Linked DNA regions of Oryctolagus cuniculus. The protein of the gene in region 2 purifies or fractionates together with the protein of the main gene of each other region. This does not show direct contact. Links are inferred from orthologs where the notes say so. Each region holds a gene or a part of one and is shown on either strand. Other genes may lie near its edges. The genes, in order: AP2B1, AP1S2, AP1B1, AP1M1 and AP1G2.

What was found.
Region 1: the proteins of AP1S2 (region 2) and AP2B1 purify together in Homo sapiens (affinity purification with mass spectrometry; 3 studies listed by BioGRID and IntAct, counting the BioPlex papers as one, with this or other methods). This does not show direct contact. The link is inferred for Oryctolagus cuniculus from reciprocal best matches to the Homo sapiens genes AP1S2 and AP2B1.
Region 3: the proteins of AP1S2 (region 2) and AP1B1 purify together in Homo sapiens (affinity purification with mass spectrometry; 5 studies listed by BioGRID and IntAct, counting the BioPlex papers as one, with this or other methods). This does not show direct contact. The link is inferred for Oryctolagus cuniculus from reciprocal best matches to the Homo sapiens genes AP1S2 and AP1B1.
Region 4: the proteins of AP1S2 (region 2) and AP1M1 fractionate together in Homo sapiens (co-fractionation; 6 studies listed by BioGRID and IntAct, counting the BioPlex papers as one, with this or other methods). This does not show direct contact. The link is inferred for Oryctolagus cuniculus from reciprocal best matches to the Homo sapiens genes AP1S2 and AP1M1.
Region 5: the proteins of AP1S2 (region 2) and AP1G2 purify together in Homo sapiens (affinity purification with mass spectrometry; 3 studies listed by BioGRID and IntAct, counting the BioPlex papers as one, with this or other methods). This does not show direct contact. The link is inferred for Oryctolagus cuniculus from reciprocal best matches to the Homo sapiens genes AP1S2 and AP1G2.

What each region holds. Positions count from the first base shown.
Region 1 is NC_091448.1:39,031,372-39,035,418, forward strand, and holds the start of AP2B1 (AP-2 complex subunit beta), read right to left. Parts: upstream 2,804-4,047; 5' UTR 2,633-2,803; exon of another isoform or gene 2,394-2,632; intron 2,387-2,393; exon of another isoform or gene 2,068-2,386; intron 1-2,067. UniProt on the Homo sapiens protein: Component of the adaptor protein complex 2 (AP-2). Adaptor protein complexes function in protein transport via transport vesicles in different membrane traffic pathways.
Region 2 is NC_091453.1:1,997,431-2,001,678, forward strand, and holds the start of AP1S2 (AP-1 complex subunit sigma-2), read right to left. Parts: upstream 2,802-4,248; 5' UTR 2,486-2,801; intron 2,336-2,485; exon of another isoform or gene 2,218-2,335; intron 386-2,217; coding exon 207-385; intron 1-206. UniProt on the Homo sapiens protein: Subunit of clathrin-associated adaptor protein complex 1 that plays a role in protein sorting in the late-Golgi/trans-Golgi network (TGN) and/or endosomes.
Region 3 is NC_091452.1:22,748,423-22,751,933, forward strand, and holds part of AP1B1 (AP-1 complex subunit beta-1), read right to left. Parts: intron 2,996-3,511; coding exon 2,850-2,995; intron 2,496-2,849; exon of another isoform or gene 2,399-2,495; intron 1,386-2,398; coding exon 1,256-1,385; intron 1,173-1,255; coding exon 1,088-1,172; intron 502-1,087; coding exon 415-501; intron 314-414; coding exon 159-313; intron 1-158. UniProt on the Homo sapiens protein: Subunit of clathrin-associated adaptor protein complex 1 that plays a role in protein sorting in the late-Golgi/trans-Golgi network (TGN) and/or endosomes.
Region 4 is NC_091447.1:64,728,566-64,732,739, forward strand, and holds the start of AP1M1 (AP-1 complex subunit mu-1), read left to right. Parts: upstream 1-1,372; 5' UTR 1,373-1,502; coding exon 1,503-1,544; intron 1,545-4,174. UniProt on the Homo sapiens protein: Subunit of clathrin-associated adaptor protein complex 1 that plays a role in protein sorting in the trans-Golgi network (TGN) and endosomes.
Region 5 is NC_091443.1:51,513,819-51,516,934, reverse strand, and holds part of AP1G2 (AP-1 complex subunit gamma-like 2), read right to left. Parts: coding exon 3,116-3,116; intron 2,960-3,115; coding exon 2,904-2,959; intron 2,764-2,903; coding exon 2,650-2,763; intron 2,510-2,649; coding exon 2,369-2,509; intron 2,294-2,368; coding exon 2,239-2,293; intron 2,156-2,238; coding exon 2,033-2,155; intron 1,449-2,032; coding exon 1,359-1,448; intron 1,276-1,358; coding exon 1,148-1,275; intron 951-1,147; coding exon 846-950; intron 564-845; coding exon 437-563; intron 355-436; coding exon 219-354; intron 1-218.

The DNA.
Region 1 (4,047 bases), on a different chromosome or scaffold from region 2:
TCAGATGAAGCTCCTGGCTCCTGGCTTCAGCCTGGCCCAGCCCTGGCTGTTGTGTCCATTTGAGGAGTGAACAAGCAGATCGAAGATCTCACTCTCTGTCTCTCTCCTTCTCCCTCTGTAATTCTGACTTTAAAATAAATTAATTAATTTTAAAAAAGAAATAAAAATGAAAACAGTCTCAACAAAAACAAATGGGAAGAGGTGGTCGTTGCACCATTCTGTGAATGTACCAAAAGTGCCACTGTTCACTATAAAATGATTAATTTTATGTTATGCAAATTTCACCTTAAAAAAGTTGTGTTTTAGATGAGATATAGTTAATCATTTGATAAATATGGACATAGCCAAGATTCTCTAAAATTCAGGATGGTGAAAACTGAAGTCTGTATAGGAGGTCACAGAAAAGTAGACAAGATGGAGTTCAAGAAACAAAAACAAACAAGCAAGTATTTGCTGATGTGCCTTAAAAAGTCAAATTCCTGCCACAAAAACAAAACTATTTCTCTGGAGAGCTCCAGAAATAAGCAAAGCCATGATGGAATTTAAGCCCACATCATCTTTCTACCAGATTAAATCAGACAAGTCACTGGACATTCTGAAGACTTAGGGTCGGCCCAGGGCCACTGTTGAACAACAAAGCTCCAGGGTCAGAGCGCATAATCACTCTCACTTGGCCCAGTCCAGAGAGGGATGTCCCTGCATTTCGGGAGGGCCTCCCGCACAGGATGATGTATCTAGATTTAACACAGCCTAGTTTCTGCCAGATACAGGTTGTGAAAGTCCCTCTTCTATTCCTCCCTCCTCCCCTCAGTTCCCCAAAAGGCAAAGACTGACGTAAGATTAATAGCTTGGGTAAAATAAGGGCAGAAAAAAATTAATAGGATCTTAATTTTAAACGGCTCTCTGGGAAATGGTGGCCAAATTAGAGCTGATGAACTCACTAAGCCCTTCTTTTCACATAAATTTGAGATTCACACATTTAAGGTTCAAAGTGAAAAACTGGCCCAAATTAACAGAATTATAAAGCAGAAAGGTCATTCCAATAATCTTTTTTTTAATAAAAATAACGGGAGAGGTGCTGTTTCCATTTCTAATTAAATATTCAACAACAGTGAAAAGACAACAGTATCTTTAAATATCATTTGGCTCATAAGAAATTATCAAACCCTGAAAAGCCAAAATCACCTGTGATTTCTATTTAAATACAAGAAACTGCAAAGTTAATACAGTAATACACAGAAAGAAAGCTCAAAGTTTGACCTCCAATTCTTAACTGAAATATCATAAGCCCGGAAAATGTAAGCCTGGGAGGAAGGGAAGAAGGAATGGAGAACCTGTCCTTGGTTCAAACCCGCACCTGAGACATACTACTTCACAATATGGGCCTTAAAGGGGAAGACAAACAAGGATGAGAGACCTGAACGTCCCGGACTCAAAGAGAACGAGTGAGCTTTACATCCATTTTGCCACTCAACGTGGGCAAGGCTGTTGGCAGAACACAGGCGCCTGTCTGCTCCCCTGGGGACTTCCAACTGCTAAGCTACCTGCGAAGGCTTCTCACCTCCCCACCAGGCTTAGTCATCCTTACAACGTGTTACCTGCACCTCCTTCACCTGCTGCCTTCTATTATTACTGTGTGAGTGCACCCCGAGGCTACGCTGCGGACCTACACCGGGCGGGAACTAACCGTTCCTCATTAAGACCACCTTCCTTCTTAGTCATTCTGCCTTTCCGAGCGTATTTCTTTACTTTTGCTTTTAAACCACAATACTATGTGGTAACGGAGTTTGACAGTTAAAAAAAAAAAGGCGTATTTTCTGAAAGGTCAAAGTTTTACGAAACATCCACACTTCATAATGAAGCGGCCGAGCGAGCACAGGAACAGCCTGGCCTCCCCTGCTATGAAAACAACCCAGCAGCTTAAAATCTTTGGATTCAGAGAGTATGAAAATAACAGGAAGTTCCAATTTCTGAACTTCTGCCTTCGTCTGCAGCCTTCCCCAAGCCAGACTGTTCCTGCTAAATCCAGAAAAGAAAAAAAAAAAAAAATCCGAGCAGAGAATGTACCGCTTCCCCTCTCACATCGGGCCGATTCCGGAGGTTTCCCTAAAAGTGTCAGGAATGGCTCTTCTGCTTCCAGGTGGGAGGCCTCCATTACGAGATAAGGGAGAGGTGTCCCCAGCCTCAAGTTACGGAGACGCGCGAGGTGTGTCCATTAACGGGCAAAGCTTCGGGGGAATCCCTCTTGCCTTTCGCTCGCTGGACACGTCCCAGCCTCTCAATGCACGTCGGCGAAGGGGGAAGAAGGAAGGTTCTCCCCTCGGCCTCCGGCCACACCCCTGGCCTCTGGCCCGTGCGAACCCCGACTTGGAAACAGACCTCCCCCCACGCACCTCGAGCTGCCACCCCCGAGGATTCCCTCAGCCCACCACAGCCACCGCGGCGGAGACCTCTCCTCCAAGCCTTTTCCTCACAACGGTCACACCCGACGGCTGCCTCCACCCTCAACGGTCACGCTCCTAAGATTTCCTCGCCTCCGCTCGCCTTCGACTCAGCCTGTGGATCTCCTCCCTCTCCCCCACCCCAATCAATTAAGGAACACACACCCCAGAGTCAGCTGCCTTGAACTCACCGGAGGCAAGGGCGGGGGTGGCGGGAGCAGCCAGAGAGCACAGCCCGGGTGGTGTTGTAATGGTTTCCTGCCCGTCACGATTCTTTCTCTAGGTCTAAGCCACTGCGCAAAACCCACTTTGCCAGCGACAAAGATGGTGGGCCGGAAACCCTGACGTCAGAGAACCTCGCCGCGTGACGTAGTCGGAGTGCGCGGGAGAACCAGAAAGGCGGCGACCCGTTACCTTGGAGACGAAAAAGCGTCCTGCCCTCCCCTCCCCCACCCAGCCTTGGTTCAGGCAAGGCTTGGAGACCTGGGCCTCAGAGGATGGTTAATGGCTATTCCAAGGGATATATTAAACAAGCTGAAATTCGCTGGAATTGTTTCCTCGCAAGGAATTGAAGTATCCTGTTCCCTTCTATTAAAAAAAAATTAAAACATCGGCTAATTTCCCTGGCAGGCGGTCCAGCAGAAAACAACAGTGATCCAGCCCAGAACTCATAGGCAGTGATGCGAGGAAAAGAGGTTGAGGCGGCATCATGTGAGTTCGTGAGTTCAATTCCCTGCCCCGGTGCGACTGGGAAAGTAGTTTAATAACCTTAGTCTTCTTGTCTTGTGAAGCTTAAATGAGATAAAGAAGCACTATGCTGAGAATGTAGTAGACCTACTAACACAAAAGTAAGGCGCTTTCGGGAACTACGCCCTAGATTCTAAGATCTAAAACTGGAGGAAAAAGTTGACGAGGGCGCAGGAAACTGTCAGCGAACCAGGCTCTCCCTAAGGTTTATGTGAGGGTGTGAGGGAGAAGAGAGAGGGTTGGGGTTTTTTCTTCCAAATTTTTGCCCATCAATTCTGGGAGTATCAAAATAAAATATTTTGAAGTTTCATTCTGCAGGAAGTAATTTGAAGTATATAAAGACTTCATATAACACTTATGTATTATTATGCTGTTATTAACATAGGAGAAGTTGGAAATTAAACATTTGTGATAAATTAGAGAACTGTATAATGTTGTCGAAGAATATTTTATAATGCAAGAAAATCTTGATAAAACGGTTAAGCTTAAAAAGTACACAAAACAATACCTGCGACATGACTGCATATGCAAAAAGGCTGGAAAAATAGGGGCTGGCACTATGGCGCAGCAGATTAAAACCCCAGGCTGCAGTGCTGGCATCCCATATGGGCGTCAGCTAAAGTCCTGGCTGCTCCACTTCCCATCCAACTCCCTGCTAGCGTACCTGGGAAGGCAGCAGAGGATGACCCCTGCACCCACGTGGGAGACCAGGAAGAAGCTCCGGGCTCCTGGCTTCGGATTGGTTCAGCTCTGGCCATTGTGGCCATTTGGGGAATGAACCAGAGATGGAAGACCTCTGTCTTTCAAATAAATAAATTTCCTTAAAAAAAAAAAAAAAAAGGAGGGGCTAGAAAAATGT
Region 2 (4,248 bases):
TTTATCATTTTAGCCTGGATAATCAATCAAAACAGCAGTTATTTTAAAAATACAAAGCTTTACTGCTTTACTCTAAATATTTTTCTCCTAAATCTTTATTAATCATTATTTCTAAATGTGATCAACAAAAGTCTGACATCTCCATGTTACAAATGACCTAACAATTGACTCTTTTATTACACCTTTCTGATAAATAAAAACTATACCTTTTGTAAACAATCTTCAGATCTCGCCACTCAAGAAAGCTGCACATTTTAGGTTTCCGTGCTAAAACAGTCTGAACAAGTTCTCTTGTGATCTTTTTCTTCTCTTTGTCTGACAGTGGGACATACCATTTCTGCAGTCGAAGCTTCCCCTGACGACTAAAAAGCAGCATAAACTGCATCTGTTAAGACAAGTAAAGTAAAGATCACATGCGGTACTTTGACTCAATACGGTTAATACATGTTTTTCAGAGGAACCTGTGAGAGCAGGGCATTAAACTGACAATTAGCAGCTATCATTATTTTTATGTCACTTGAAATAGCAGGAAATTCTTTTAGAAAGATCTTTCTGCTAGATACAACCCTTCCCTTCCCATCTCACTCTGTTCCACATAAGTTTGGAGAGGAATGGGTGGGAAAAAAAAGAAAAAACAGGTATATTGCAGTGAAATTTTTGAACAAAAAGCTGTCCCTTGTAATTTAGAAACTATTTTCTACCTGTGCTCATACAGTCCACACTCCCTATATGCATCAAAAGAGAACTGTAGATATCAATTGGTTTAGGTACATTTGAAAGAAACAGGCAATCTACTATTTTTCAGCCCAAGGCTTTTCTAGTCCCAGGGTGAATTACTTGTAGACTTTGAATGCTCTCTTCCATTTATGCTAGCATATTTTAAAAAAAACAGAATGAGCTAAAATATTCACCAAAAAAGAGGATCTCACAAATACATGTTTTTCTTAATAAGATCCTGATCTTAAAGTATCTGTTTTCATCTCATTTTTAAAAACATAAATATGCACATAATTAAGAGTCAGGTTAATGTAATATTATGAAAATCAAATCTTTAAAATGTCAAAATAATAATTAGATATATTCAGGGGCATTATATGAAATATTACATTTAAAACAATAAAAAACAGCATCTACAGATGGATTGGATACTGAATTCTAGTGTTTTTAACACCTAACCTAATTTGTGTGTATTTATTTGGAACCTGCAAATCTGTTGATTAGTCTGAATGTTCTGTTAAAGGCAAGCTTATGGTAAGTCAACTGGTCATCAACTGCAAACAGTATTATTTCTACAAGATAATGTAAAGATAGAATTCAGATACGTATTCTGTTTTCTTTTAAGCATGGCAAAGAAGATTCAAGCCTGATTCTTAAAACTCACACCATCTTGAACATGGGGAGAGAGAATTTATACAATCAATATAGAATAAAATGAGCCCTAAATTTCTATATGAAATTATTTGATATGAAATTAAAATAATGCAAAAAGACATCAACCAGATACTTGGCAATTTACGACATGACAATTTTAACTTTATTAAACTTAAGGCTTATTACCGCTCGTAACATGCTTCAGTGGCACAAAATACACGGACATTACTCAGGGATATCAAAGTGCCTCCATGTAAGTTGCAAAATCAGCGGCATTCGAAAAGGGGGCAGCAAGCGAAGCATCAACTGGACATTTAAAGCAAACCCGTTACCAGAACTTGGAAGAGAATGAACCTCGTATTCCTTGATCTCGGTGGCCAGGAGGGGCGGGGGTTTGCTTGCCAAAAAGAGTCTGGGTTCAAGGCTGTCGGGAGCAGGGTCCTGTATCTGCCCTACCACTTTACAAGAAGAAAACACAACGTATTCTCTCAAAATAAATTATGTACTAACATGGGACGAAATCCGGTTGCAAGGCACAAGTATCCTGTCTTATTAAACACGAATGCTTTGATTGTGCCGCAAATCACAGGGTACCACAATTCTGGGAAACGGGCATTTAAAAACAATGGGCTCAGCCTCGGAGCGAGCTCGGGACCAGCTTTCCTTGGGTCCCGCCGTCTCCGATGCCTCCCCCCCTTCCGGGGCTACACTCCATCACTGACCAAGCCTGAGCGAGGTGACAGGCAAGGAGCGGAGCAGACAATGGCATCCGCCGCCGCGCAGGGGGGCGCCAAGAGTTCTCGGCCGCCGCCGTCCCCGGCCGCCAGCCCCTCCCTAAAACGCCCCGCAAAACTTGAGACGATTCCCGAACCACAGGTGCCGCGGCGCCCCGGCGGAGCCCCGGACTAGACCCCGCATTCCCAGGCGCCGCGCAGTGGTTTGCGGGGGGCCGACGTGGAAAGAAGTGAGTTGTGGGGCGCGGCGCCCAGGTGGCGGGCCGGCGGGCTCGGGGTGGGGTCGTCGGAGCGCGCGCGGGGCGGCGGGGGGCGCGCCCAGCCATCCCTCCCCCTCCCCATCCCCATCCCCAGCGTCCCCACTCGCCCTCGGGACTTACGGCAGCCGCGGGCCGCGGGTGCGGCTGGGCTCGGCCGGCAGCGGCGGCGGCTGAGGGGAAACCCCTGTCGCCGCGGCGAGTAGGAGACGCCGTGTTGCTGTGGGGAGGGGACCCAGTTGTCGGAAAGCAGGCTTAGGCGGCGAGGGGAGGGCGAGCCAACAGACTCCGCCCCAGGGGCCGGACGAGGGAGGAGCTGGGGCTGCGGCTAGCGGAGAGGCGGGCTGGACGACGCGCGGGAAGCGGCCCAACGGCAGCCAACGGCACCCGGAGGCGGCGCAGGCGACCGCGTAGTCCGACGAAACCGATTGGCCGCGTCGTCACCGAGAGGAGTGGTGCGAACCGGAAGTTGGGCCACGTGACCCGGAAGCGGCCTCGGCAGCAGCCAGCGCGCCTGCGTACTCAGGCTCGTGCCTTCGGGACGCGAGCGGGTGGCTGCCTTGGCTCTTTTGGTGACGGGAGGACGTGGTTCCGCGGCGACCTTAGGCGACCCTGTGGTTCGAGGCAGAGAAGGTTCTGAACGCGAAGAGCCAAGTTCGAGCTCCGATGACTCTCCGTGTCCCAAGAGGGTGGGATAGGGAGGTGTGACGGCCGGTGATGATGGTGGGAGGAGAAAGGGAGTGCTGCAACTCTGGGGAAAGCAAGGCAGCTCTTTCGCGGAGCCCTTGCATGCGTTCACAGGGCCTTTTGCTAGGTAGACGGCCTCTCCTTCCCATCGCAGTGCTACAGCCCTAGCCCAGACACTTTTTACCACAAGCTTCGCACCCTGGGCTTGCCTCGCCCATCTTCAGGGCTGCGGACTGGATGAGTTATGTCCTCAGCTGAAAAGCCCAGACACCACTTCGTCTTCGAGATCCCGCTTGCTTCACACGGGATCGCTCCCACCAGCCGCCTGGGTTTAGCCTGGCCAACGACTTGCTCTGCCTGACATGCCCTTCCTCTCAAATGTCACAAGTATGAAGCGTCACCCTAAAACCCTGTAAGAACGAATACGTTTTTCACCAACATGTCCATTAGTCTGTATTTAGCACGTCTTGGATTTATTCATTTTGCATTCCAACTTAGTTCACTGCTTGGTGTGTAACACAAGTTGGCTGGTAAAGACTGAAATGAATGATAGATTTGTTAAGGGCCGTGATGCTGAGCACACTGCTGGGCACGTAATCAGTGTTCATACTTGGTGTTTGAATGATGGAATGAATGAATCATCTAGTCCAACTCATCTTTTATAGATAAGGAAAGGGGAGCCCCACGGGATTAGGTGACCTTGCTTGAACAGCCACGGGTTTCCCATGTCGAATGCTATTCATTACTCCAGTCAACTGGGTTCCTACAAAGGAAGCTAGAAAATTGCTTTTGTTGGGCCATGCCCTTTTTGCAGAGGTTTGTAAAACGTAGTTGTCAGATTTTTTTTAATGGCCCAAAGTAAAAATCGCAAATTTTTTCCATGAAAGTAAATTCAGTCAACTTGAAGGAACCCTTTATTAGAGATCATGTTATCTGTGCAAGGGAAGAGAGGGTTATTACAATAAACATGAAACTAAGATACTAAATAGCGGTTTGGAGGCATTTGAAAATGCCCTTGTTTGGCAAAATAAAAAATGTAATGCTTCTCCATTTCTGCATTACTGTGCCACTTGGAAAGTTCCCTGGTGACATGTATGATTAATGTATACTGGAATATTACAAAGGGGTCGACAAAAACCACAGAGCTAGCTTTCTATAGTTCTTTAGGCCCCCTGCCCAAATTTCTCCCTGCCTAAACA
Region 3 (3,511 bases), on a different chromosome or scaffold from region 2:
CCCACTTGGAGGCTTTTGTGGGTGACCTGGCAGGGCTGAGCTGGAAGCTCCCTAGAAAGGTGCCTTCCTGCTCGCGGCAGGCTCAGGGGGACCCCTGGCGCAGCATCCCCATCAGAGCCGCCCCCGGCTGGGGCGCCTGGTAGGCACGGGGCGCTCACCGTGAGGTTGGGGTTGCCGGGCTGTATGCGCAGCTCGGCCAGCACCCAGATGCCATTGGTCAGCCTCAGGGACTGGTAGAGCATGTCCTGGGCCTCCACGTTCCGCTTGGCGATGGTGAAGACGTTGCTGCTCTGCAGCCTGCTGCTCACGGCCTCTGTGAGGTCGGGAGGACCCGAGAGGACCCAGTCAGAGGGCAGTGGCCCAGGGCCAGCCAAGGCCCAGCCAGGGCTCAAGGTCGGGCTGGGGGGTTCTCACCCGCATTGAGGGGGCAGTCTCTGATCTGGAACTGGGCTTCGTTCTCATTGGGGATATCTTTCCATGTGGCCAGGAACATCTGCCGGTCTGGAAGGTGAGGGGGACCCTCATAAACCCGTGGCCCCTCAACCACCTGGAACAGGCCATGGGCCTGTGTCCAGTGTGCCGCCTGAAATTCAGGACGGGCACCAGCGCCCGCACAGCCCCAAGCCGAGCACACCCTCAGTTCTGTGAGGAGGCCCGAGAGCTGCTCCCGAGGGACCCTGGGCTTCCTGCCGCCCACCTCCACCCCACCACATGCCGGCCTCCTGCCCGGGCAGGGCAGCCTGTCAGTCACACCTGCCTCATGGGGCTTCCTCCTGGGTCAAGTGAGAGACAATCCCGGCAGCCCAGGGCATGGCTAAGGCCTCTGGGTACAAAAGCAGTGAGTGCCAGTCACGGGACATGACCTGGGGTCCCTGCCACCCCTGGGACAAGGCTGAGAGCAGGCAGGAGAGCCTGCAAGTGAGATGACCCTGTGTGGCACAGCCCACCTGCTGGCCAGGCATGCCCCTTGGGACAGGCTTCGCAAGGACCCAGTCAAGGGGCAGGCGAAACCATCCAGGCCTTGGGCAAGCGCCAGCTGGGCCAGGTTCCTAAGCCCTGGCCCCTGCTTGGGGCCTTCACGACTCACCCATTTTCCCGTCCTCCACAAAGAGGATGTGCAGAGGGTACAAGGTGCTGAAGTAGAAGACGTCTATGTTGTTCTTCACGGCCACCTAGGCAGAGGCGCCCGTCAGCCCCAGGCAGGACGTCCCTCCCGGCACCCATGCCCCTTTGCCACGGCGGGGGGGGGACCCACCTGGAGGTTGTTCAGGGGCTCCATCTTCATGACCGAGCCCACCGTGTTAAGAGGCAGCGAGATCTCCACAGTCTGGTTGGGGCTCAGTGGTGCGTGGACCTGGAGGGGGGCGGCGGGGGCCAGGCCAAAGCTAGGGAGAGAGAAGCCCCCGCAGGCACAGCTGGGCAGCAGGTGCTGACCGGGCACAGGTGGGCTCCTCCCCAAGCTGCCTCAGCCGAGCTGCAGTCCTGGGGCAGGACAGGCTCACGAGCTCCCAGGCCCCTCAGTGGCTGTGGCACAGGAGGAAAGGGCCCCAGGCTGCAGGCTCTGCCCAGCCCAGCCCAGCGCTGGCCGACGCTGGCCTGGGGGGCACTGGGCAGCCTCAGACAAGCAAGGCCCTGCCTGTCCTCCCTCCACAAGCTCTTCCTCCTACCAACAGCCTGTGGCAAAGCTCTGTGGCTGCCCAAGTCTCTGCTGCCCACACCCACTCCCTAGGAAGGATGTGAACCCCATCGGGCACTGGGATTTACTGTCTAGGGCAGCACTGGCCAGGTCACATGATGGCCAGTTTCAGGAAAGCCCTGCTTCTCTACGGCAGCACATAAGCAAATGGGGAGACTCAGATCCTTGTCAGACACAGCATGGACTGGGGGCTCCATCCGCCCAGGCTGGCATTTGACTTGATACCAATTCCCAAGCTCAGGAAACAGAGACAGGCACACATCGCCTCATCTTCCAGGTGAAGATGGTGTACCTCAAGGAGGGCCAGGTCCACGTCTGCTCTACAGGTGAGTGACAGTGCTGAGTCAGAGCTCGAGCTGCCTGCCTGGGACACAGCGGGAGAAGCAGCGGGCGACCCAGGCCCGCGCAGTGGCCCCGCACTACAGGCTTTCCTGGGAGCTCCGCCACTGCCTGCTGCGTGACCTGGGGCAACCTACCTGCCCTGAGCCCAGAGGTAATGGCCCTGACTTGACGGGCTGTCACCTGCTTCAAGTGAGACAATACCCCCAGAGCCCTGGGCACAGTGTTCCAGCCAGCAGGTTTTTCTGAGTGACCAGCCTGGAGCATGTCTGTGGCCGACAGGGTCTGTTGAGCGGAAGGGGAGGAGCTGCCCCAGCCTCCCTGTCTGCCGGAGGGTGGGGGTGTCCCTGGCCACGGCTCCCCGAGGAAGCAGCCCCTTCAGTCAACTTCTTAGAGGCTCAGTTTGCTCATCACTGGAGCCGCTCAGGAAGAGGGATCATCAGGAGGGGCTGCTTGGTCTCCAGAGCCCTGGCCTGACCCACGGTGGTACAGACAGGTAGCCTTCCTGTCACTCGCTGTGCGGGGACCTGGCAGGGCTGACGGCCTGGAGCAGGGCTCACCCCTGAGGCCCTGCCTGCAGGGGCAGGCTCACTGGGGGACAGACCCTCCTGACAGGTGGGGTGTTTGCCAAGGGCCAGCTCCTGGGCTGCCACTGGGGAAACACTCTCCCCACTCTTTCTGGGACTGCAGAGTCCACGAAAGTGGCCATGGAGGGAAGAGAGTTCCGGCCTGTAGGGTGGTGAGCAATGCCACCCGCTCCAGCTCCCCGGGGCCCTCAGCCCCTGCCTGCAGGTGGCTGGCCTCGGGAGCTTACCTGTTGCGGTTGAACTGGATTGCAAAGTCGGTCATGACCTGTAGGGCCTTGTTGGTGAGCTGCAGGTCCATGGAGATGGCGCCCACCTGGCGTGTGAAGGTGCCCGAGATCTCCAGCCCCTTAGCCTTCATGGCCGGGAGCCAGACCTGCAAGAAGGGGGAGGGGGGTGGCTGGCATGTGCCAGGTCCTGGCCCAGACACAAGGGCCCACCCCAGGGTCCCTTTTCTTTCTCTCCTGGAGGGGCCTCCCAGACTGAGCACCCTGCTTTGCTTCCTAGGGGTTGACCACTGACCTCAGGGGAGGAGAATGAGCCCGTGGCCTCGCACTGAGCAGCTCGCGCTGCAAAGGTGCTGGGCGTGCTCAAGGGCTGCTCTGAGAGTCGAGGTCAGAGAGGAAAATGGTCAGAAAAGGATATGGGGGAAGTGGGCTGAGGAGACGACCAGACAGTGTGCCCTGCCAGTCTCCGCACAAGCCAAGGACAGAGCGAAGTGCCCGGCGGCACCCCAGCTGTCACAGCCTGTACTGTGCAGGGGGCAGGGCTGGCCCAGAATCGCAGAAACTGGTCAGAGCAAGGACAGTACCTAGGAGGAGCCCTCGTGTGGCAGGCCCTCTGCTGCTTGGCTGCCCTTGTCACTCGAGTCTCAAGGGCCTCCTCCTCTGGG
Region 4 (4,174 bases), on a different chromosome or scaffold from region 2:
ATTGCCACAGACACCTGAAACAGAAGTAGCACTTCCGGTGAGCTGGTTCAGGAGCAGCACTTCCGGTGAACAGCAGAAACCACTTCGGTGAGCTGCAGCAGTAGCATCACTTCCGGTGAGCCCGGAGCACCCGCAGCACTCTTCTTCCAGGCGCCTCTAATGGGTGTCCAGTGCCAAGGCAGACATTGCTAATCGATCGCGACGTTCCTCACCGTGGAAACCTTGGAGCACTGGTCCCTGAGTGGGCACGCGTGTGCTGTGATGCGGCGGCCGCGATGTTGGGAAAAACAGTGTCCGGGGGCCGCGCCGGGGCGGGGGCTGTCTGTGTAAAAGCCGCAGAATAAAGCAAAAGCGTCACTGAAGAGGAGTCTGGGCGTCTGATTGCCTGAGCCATAGCGGCCGGAGATGACTCCTGCCCTCTGTGCCGCGGGCTGGGTGCCCAGCGGGGAGCGCCTGACAGGCACCCAGCCCACCTGCTCATCCGGCGGGCCGGAGCGAAACCAGGGTCTCAGGGGAACGGCGGGAGGGCGCGGACCCAGCAGGAAGCAGTGTCCCGGGTAGCACTGGGATGCACCTGGCGCAGCAGGTAAAGCCTCCGCCCGCAGTGCTGGCATCACACAGGGGCGCCGGTTCGAGTCCCGGCTGCTCCATTTCTGATCCAGCTCTCTGCTGTGGCCTGGGAAAGCAGTACAAGACGGCCCAGGTCCTTGGACCCCTGCACCTGCGTGGGAAACCCGGATGGAGCTCCTGGCTTCGATTTGGCTCTGCTCCGGCCGTTGCGGCCATCTGGGGAGTGAACCAGCAGATGGAAGACCTCCCCCCACCCCCGTAACTCTGTCTTTAAAATAAATAAAATTTTTTCTAAAAACATTTCAGCTGAAGAATGCAGACACGCCGTTGGTTATGACCCGACCAGGGCCGCTAAAAATGTAGCAGGAAAGCACACGTGCCCAGCAGTGGCTTGCGGTTTTTCACGAGGGCATTCCGAGCAGTAAACCGCGGGCTGGCGCGGTGACCCACGTGGACACTGACAGGTGGCCGGAGGAGGCGGGAGGCCAGAGCTTGACCTCTGCACAGAGAAGCACCGCCTTCGCCCTGCCCTAGGACGCGTCACCCCTGGTGGCTGTGTGTAGGCTACGCTCCCCGGCCAGGCCGAGCTCCACGGGTCTGGACCCGCCCGGCTTCACCAGAGCGCCGCGGCCGGCCGGAGTCGCCCCGATTCCGCCGGCCCCGCCCCCCGCGCCCCACTTCCGGCCGCTCGAGGAGCGCAGCGAGAAATACGGTCTTCCCGGGCGTACTGCGCCTGCGCCTAGCCCTCCCGCACCTGCGCAGACCTGGCCGCCCCGCCCCCCTCGCCCTCAGCCCGGACATAACGGTCCGCGCGCGGCGCTCCGGGCCGGAAGTGGAGGGGAACCGTCGCCGGGCGCGCCCGGCCTCGCCCCACGCCCGGCCGTGCCCGCCGCCGCCGCCCTCGGTTGCCGCCGAGGCCTCCCGCAGCCGCCATGTCCGCCAGCGCTGTGTACGTGCTGGACCTGAAGGGCAAGGTACTGAGCGCTCCCCACCCAGCCTCCCCGCTGCCGAGTAACCGGCGGGGGCCTCGCCCTGTTAGGTAAACGACCCGTGGACCCCACCCAGCGGTAGGCGAGGCGGCCGGGCGGCCCCACCCGAGGGTCCCCCACCCAGCAGGGCGGGGGTCTCCAGTCCGCGAGGCCCGCCCTGCTGCCAGGTGGCGAGGTGGGCTGCCGCCTCCGCCGTTGCCAGGTAACGGGCGACGCCGCCCCTCCCCTGCACCCCACCCACCCCCACCGCCGCGTGCCCGCTGGCGATTCGGGCCGGGGTCTCGGGCCTCCGCGGCGGGGAGGGCGGGCCGCAGCCGGCCCCCGGCGTGGGAGGGGTGGGTGGACGGCGCGACCCTTGGCCGGAGGTGGCCAGGCGTGGCGGGGGGTGGTGGACAGCGTGCGCTCGCGGCCGGTCCCGCCTTCTCCCGGGCGCCGCCACCCCGTGGGAACCGCTGACGTCATCGTGACACTGAGTGAGGTTAGGGTTAAGGTGGCGTGGGCGGTGGACAGAGTGGGGAAACCGAGGCACGGAGTGGGCCCGGCGTTTGCAGGGGGCCCAGCAGCCGGGAGGGGCAGGTGTCCTGTGTCCTGGGTTCGGTGCCCGCCTCCGTCCACGCAGAGCCTGGGAGGCCCGGGTCGCTGGGGCCCCGCCACGCGCCTGGCGGGCCCGGGTCCGGTGCTCTGTTTGCAGCTGCAGCCGCCGCCAGGCGCCCTTCCTCTGGGCATCTGGGGGAGCCAACCAGCCGATCGCTGTGTTTGTCTCTTTCTGTGCCTTGCAGACAAAACCAGAAAAAGTTTATTTGGGTGCAAAAAAAATGTTTTTAATCGGTGCATAGGTTTTTTTTTTTTTTTCTCATAAACTTTTCCCTCGTGCGCATAGATTTCGGGGGGAAAATTGCCTCCAATTTTTTTTAACTTATTTGTTTCAAAGGCAGAGTTACAGAAAGAGAGGGAGAGAGAGAGAGGTCTTCCATCCGCTGGTTCACTCCCCAGTTGGCCTCATCGGCTGGAGCTGTGCCGATCTAGAGCCAGGAGCCAGGAGCTACTTCCGGGTCTCCCACGCAGGTGCAGGGGCCCAAGCACTTGGCCCATCTTCCACTGCTTTCCCAGGCCAGAGCAGAGAGCTGGATGGGAAGAGGAGCAGCTGGGACTAGAACCGGCCCTCATATGGGATGGCAGTGCTGCAGGCGGCGGTTTTACCCGCTCTGCCACTGCGCCGGCCCCAGCCCTGATTCCATTGCCCGTGACCTCTGAGAAGCCCCCTCATCAGGGCGGCAGGGGCTTCCCTGGGGGAGGGGCCAGGTGTGGCCGAGACCCAGGCATGTTTCCCAGGGGCCTGTGAGAGCAGCGCTGGCCAGGCCACCTCCCCACATGGGAGCCAGAACTGGGAGAGGCGCGGGTGCCGCCTGAGCCCGGGAGCAGGTGAGCGCGGCCGCCCCTTCCTGCTCCACCCGGCGCCCTCCCCAAGTCCCTGGCCCTCTGCTTGCTTTGGAAGCCACCCAAGAGCTGCAGCTCACGAGGCCGCCTGCAGGGCTTCTGAGCCCGGCCAGACCCGGGAAGCGGGAAAGACGACTTCCCCGAAGCTGCCCGGCTCCTTCCGCCAACGTGTCGGAGCCTCTCGCGCGACCCCAGCCTGTGGCCAGGTACAGGGTGGCCACGGGCCAGGCACAGGGTGGCCACAGTGCTGCCGCTGGCCGCGGCTGTGCACAGTGCCCGGGGAAGCTCAGGCCCCATGGGGGCTCAGCTCTGCCACCCTGTGCAGGGGAGCACTGGGGAGGAGGCGCTTCCCTCTCTGGGCCTCGCCTTTCCCTCCCCAGAGGCTTTGACAGGGCTGGCGTGGTGAGGTCAGGAGATACCGGCCCCACAGGCCCGGGACAAGGTCCTGGCAGTGCAGCTGGGGAAGGGGGAGGCGGGTGCCCCAGTGGGCTGAACGAGGTGACCAGGCGGCAGGTGGAAAGGAGGCGTCCGGTGGGCCGCAGGGCGGGACGCACACACACACACACACACACACACACACCCCCGCCAGCCCTCCGCAGCCGGGACGCCCCATATCAGAGGTTTCGAAAGTCTGCCTCCTGCACTGAAGTGTTTGCTCAGAAGTAAGGCAACAGCGCCTTGAGCAATCCGTGCCAGCCGCGGGCGCCCCGTGGGTGGGCAGAAGCTCTCCCCGGGCACCTGTCCACCTGCGGCCCAGAGCCCCTTCCCGCCTCTTCTGCTCTCGCCCGTTGACTGTTGGGTTCCGAGGGGGTGGGGCCCAGTCGTGTCTCCCCACAGTGCCCCTCTTCCCAGGCCCACATCCAGACAGCTTATCTGGAGAGCCACTGGCCTCCAGGGTGCTGAGTGGTCCCTGCCATGCCCAGACTTGCTGTCCCTTCTGTGTCCACGCTGGAGCCCCGGTGTTACTCTGGCCTTCTCCTCCCCACCCACATGGCCGCTGCACAGATGTTTCCTGGGCACCCGCCGCGGGCCAGGCTGTGTCCTGGGTGCTGGGGCACAGCTGTGAGAGACCCCAGAGCAGCCGCTGTTCTCAGGGAACCTCAGACAAATGAGGACACAGATGTGTGTATAGCCTGGCAGAGGGGACAGGCAGGGAGGACTTCCTGGAGGAGGTGCCG
Region 5 (3,116 bases), on a different chromosome or scaffold from region 2:
AGTGAGGGCCAGTGGAGTAGTGATGGGGGTTGTGGCATGAGATGGGCGGGGCCCACAGGCCAAGGTAAAAAGACAAAAGAGAGGCGTGATAGAGTGACCCCTCCCCCTGCTGGGAAGGGGCTGGGGGACCCAGGCGTGGGAAGGGTGACGAGCCTCGGTCCCTGGCTCAGGACCAGGAGCAGCCTTCTCTGAGGCGTCTTCCCTCTGCTGCAGCTCACCTGGGGGTGCAGGTGCACAGGGAAGGTCGAGGAGGTGTACTAAGGTGCCTCCAGGGGGGGGATCCTGAGGAGGCGGGCATGGGGCCTCCCCAGAAGAGCCGTCCAGGAGGTGCAGCAGATCCAAGAGCTTGGAGGCCTGGGCCAAGGACGGAAGGCTCAGGGCTGGGTGTGGAGGCTCCACCCAGGCCGCCTCATCCCAGGGTTTCTGCCTCCCTCACCTGGGGCTCTGCGGGGACAGGGGCCGCGGCTTCCGAAAGCTGGGCAGCCTTGTTGCTTTCCTTTTCTTCCTCTTCAACCCGAGTGCCGCCTCGCTCCACCAGAGGCATCCTTTCAAGAATGGCAGCCCTGAGAGGTGGGAGGGTGGGTGGGTCTCTCTGGGTGGAACAGGAAGCATCTGGGGGTGGGGGCCGTGGCACAGGGCACCGTGGCACAGGGCGGGTCAGAGGGGCCTTTGTGAGTTCCTGAGACAGCGCGCTGTTGCTGGGTTTCACGTGAGCCCGGAGGGCTGGAAGCCAGCACAGCATCGGAGAGCCTCGGGGGGGCTCCCACGTGGATGGGGAAGGCCACAGGCGAGGATGAGACCCTTGGACCGAGTAAGACCGCACTGCAGCGGGCTGCCAGGCACACCTCATGTGGTCGTACTTCCGGAAGAGCGTGTTATACTCCACAGCCCGCTGCTGCAGCTCCACGTCCACGCAGCTCCCGTAGATGGACACCACCTGGCGGATGCGGCTGCGCCACAGTGCGGCACGTGAGTGGCAGTGGCAGTGAGCCCTGCCCTGTGCTCCACGCTCTGGCAGGGCCGGGAGAGGCTGCACAGAGTAAGGAGACCCCTGGGATAGCTGGCCCTAGGGACAGGGGAACAGTGGGGCCTGTGTCTGCAGGGGTGCTCAGCGAAGGGAGTCTCAAGGGCTCGGCCCCCTCCTCACTTGTTGTCCCCGCGGAACCGGGTGCTGAGCTTCATGAGGGCCGTGAGGGCGTAGGCTCTGGTGGCTGGCAGGGACAGATGGGACTGCAGCACCTTTTCCAACAGTGCCAACACCTCCTCTTCTTCCACCTTCGGGCGTGGATGAGGTAGTGAGCCTGGGCCCAGCCCTGCCCACCCTGTCCCTCTCCAGTGAACCCCCACGCAGGTCTCACCTGAAGGGGTTCAGTTTCCTCGCAGTTTCCCTCTAATAAGAGGTCCCCAAATTCCCCAATGCACCAGGCTGCCACCTGCACCAGCGGTTGCTGTGTGGGATGAGAAACACCACAGGTCAGTGTCTGGGTCAGTCCCACACTCTGCAGCCTCCCTAGGTAGTGCAGAGATAGTGGAGCTTGGCAGGGTGGGAAGAGGTGACTTTGATAGCTGGCTCTGTCCTGGTGTCCAGGCGCCCACTGCCCTCTGGTGGCCAAGCATTATAACTACATGGCCTAAACGCACTATGGTGGCAGAGGGTCCCCAGAGGAAGGGGTAGTGGTTTCGGCCCACCGGGCTTAAGGTGAAAAAGGACACTACAGATGCTGGCTGGCATCGGTTAATCACTCAGCATTCAAGGGAATAGCAACATCGAAGACGTGCAGAATGAGCTTTGATCTGATCTGATGCTCACGGCAGCTATGGGGGACAGGCAGGGTAGAAGGAACTTAAATAAAGTCCCATTAGTCATCTGTGGTTACACAGCCAGTAGGTAGCAAGGCCAGGACAGAAGCCCAGTGTTCTCACTAAAAAACAGCCCTGGCCTTGGGTGTCTCCTGCACCAAGTAGCTGCGACATGGATTGGGATGGAGGAAGCAGGTGGGCAGCCCTGGGCCTGGGAAGATGGGATCGGTACCTGGGAGATATCATTTGCCAGGGCACTGTAGAGGCGGCACACTGAGTAGGCGTGTAACTCCCGGGCCCCCCCAATCAGCTGGATCAGGTTGGCCACTGCGTCATCCCGCACATGGGTGCCTACCTGGAGGGGTGGGAGGACACAGCCAGGTCACTATGCTCAGCTCTGCCCACTCCTCCCCGCTCCCTGGCCAGCCCCCACCTCACCGTTGTCAGCACGTGCAGGATGGTGTCTATGTGCCACCGTTTGCTTGGAGCGAACCTGGGGGACATGGCTCATCAGGGCTGACCCTGCCGAGACTCGCCCCGCTCTGCTTCCCTGCACTTGTCGCCTCACCTTTCCGCAGCCAGCAGGATGCCCGAGGCACAGTCAGCCCGGAGGTCAGGCGGGCAGTACTCCAGGAAGGCCTGCAGCTCCCGAATCATGGCTCGCACATTTGAGCTATTCACCAGGGCCAAGCTCAGCTCCAGGGCCCGCCTGGAGGGAAAAAGACAAGTGCCTAAGCGGACCCTCCCCTGCTCCAGGCAGCTGTCCCTGTAATGCCCTTGCTGCAGGTGCTCTGAGTTGCTCTGGGCCCTCTCCCCTGCTGCCCTGGTGAACCCTTGCTCTCCGCTCACCGGCTGAGGGAGGCGTCGGTTTCCTGCAGACACTCCACCACCGTGGGCCGGTGCCGCTGCACGGCCCCGTGGTCGGACTGCACCAGCCGCAGCAGCGATGTCAGGGCCACATACCTGCTCGGGGTGGGGGGTGGGGGGCGGGGAGGCTCTATCATGCCATGGCCATCAGCCCGCAGCCCCGGTGAGAGGGAGGTGGATGAGGGGGCTCTGGAGGACACGGTGGCACAGCCCAGCCAGACACCTGGGTCTGTTACCTAATGTTCTTGTCACTGTTGAGCAGGAAGCGGCCAAGAATGTTGACAGCTAGGACCTAAGGGAGGCGGCGGTCAGGGGAGGAGCAACCCGCTCATTCAGGGGCAGGGACCCCGGGGCACAGGATGACGGGGTAGGAAGGAGAGACCAGTGAACAGGACCCGAGTGCCTGGCCGGGGGGCAGTAGGCGGGCCACAGTGGGACAGGCCGATACC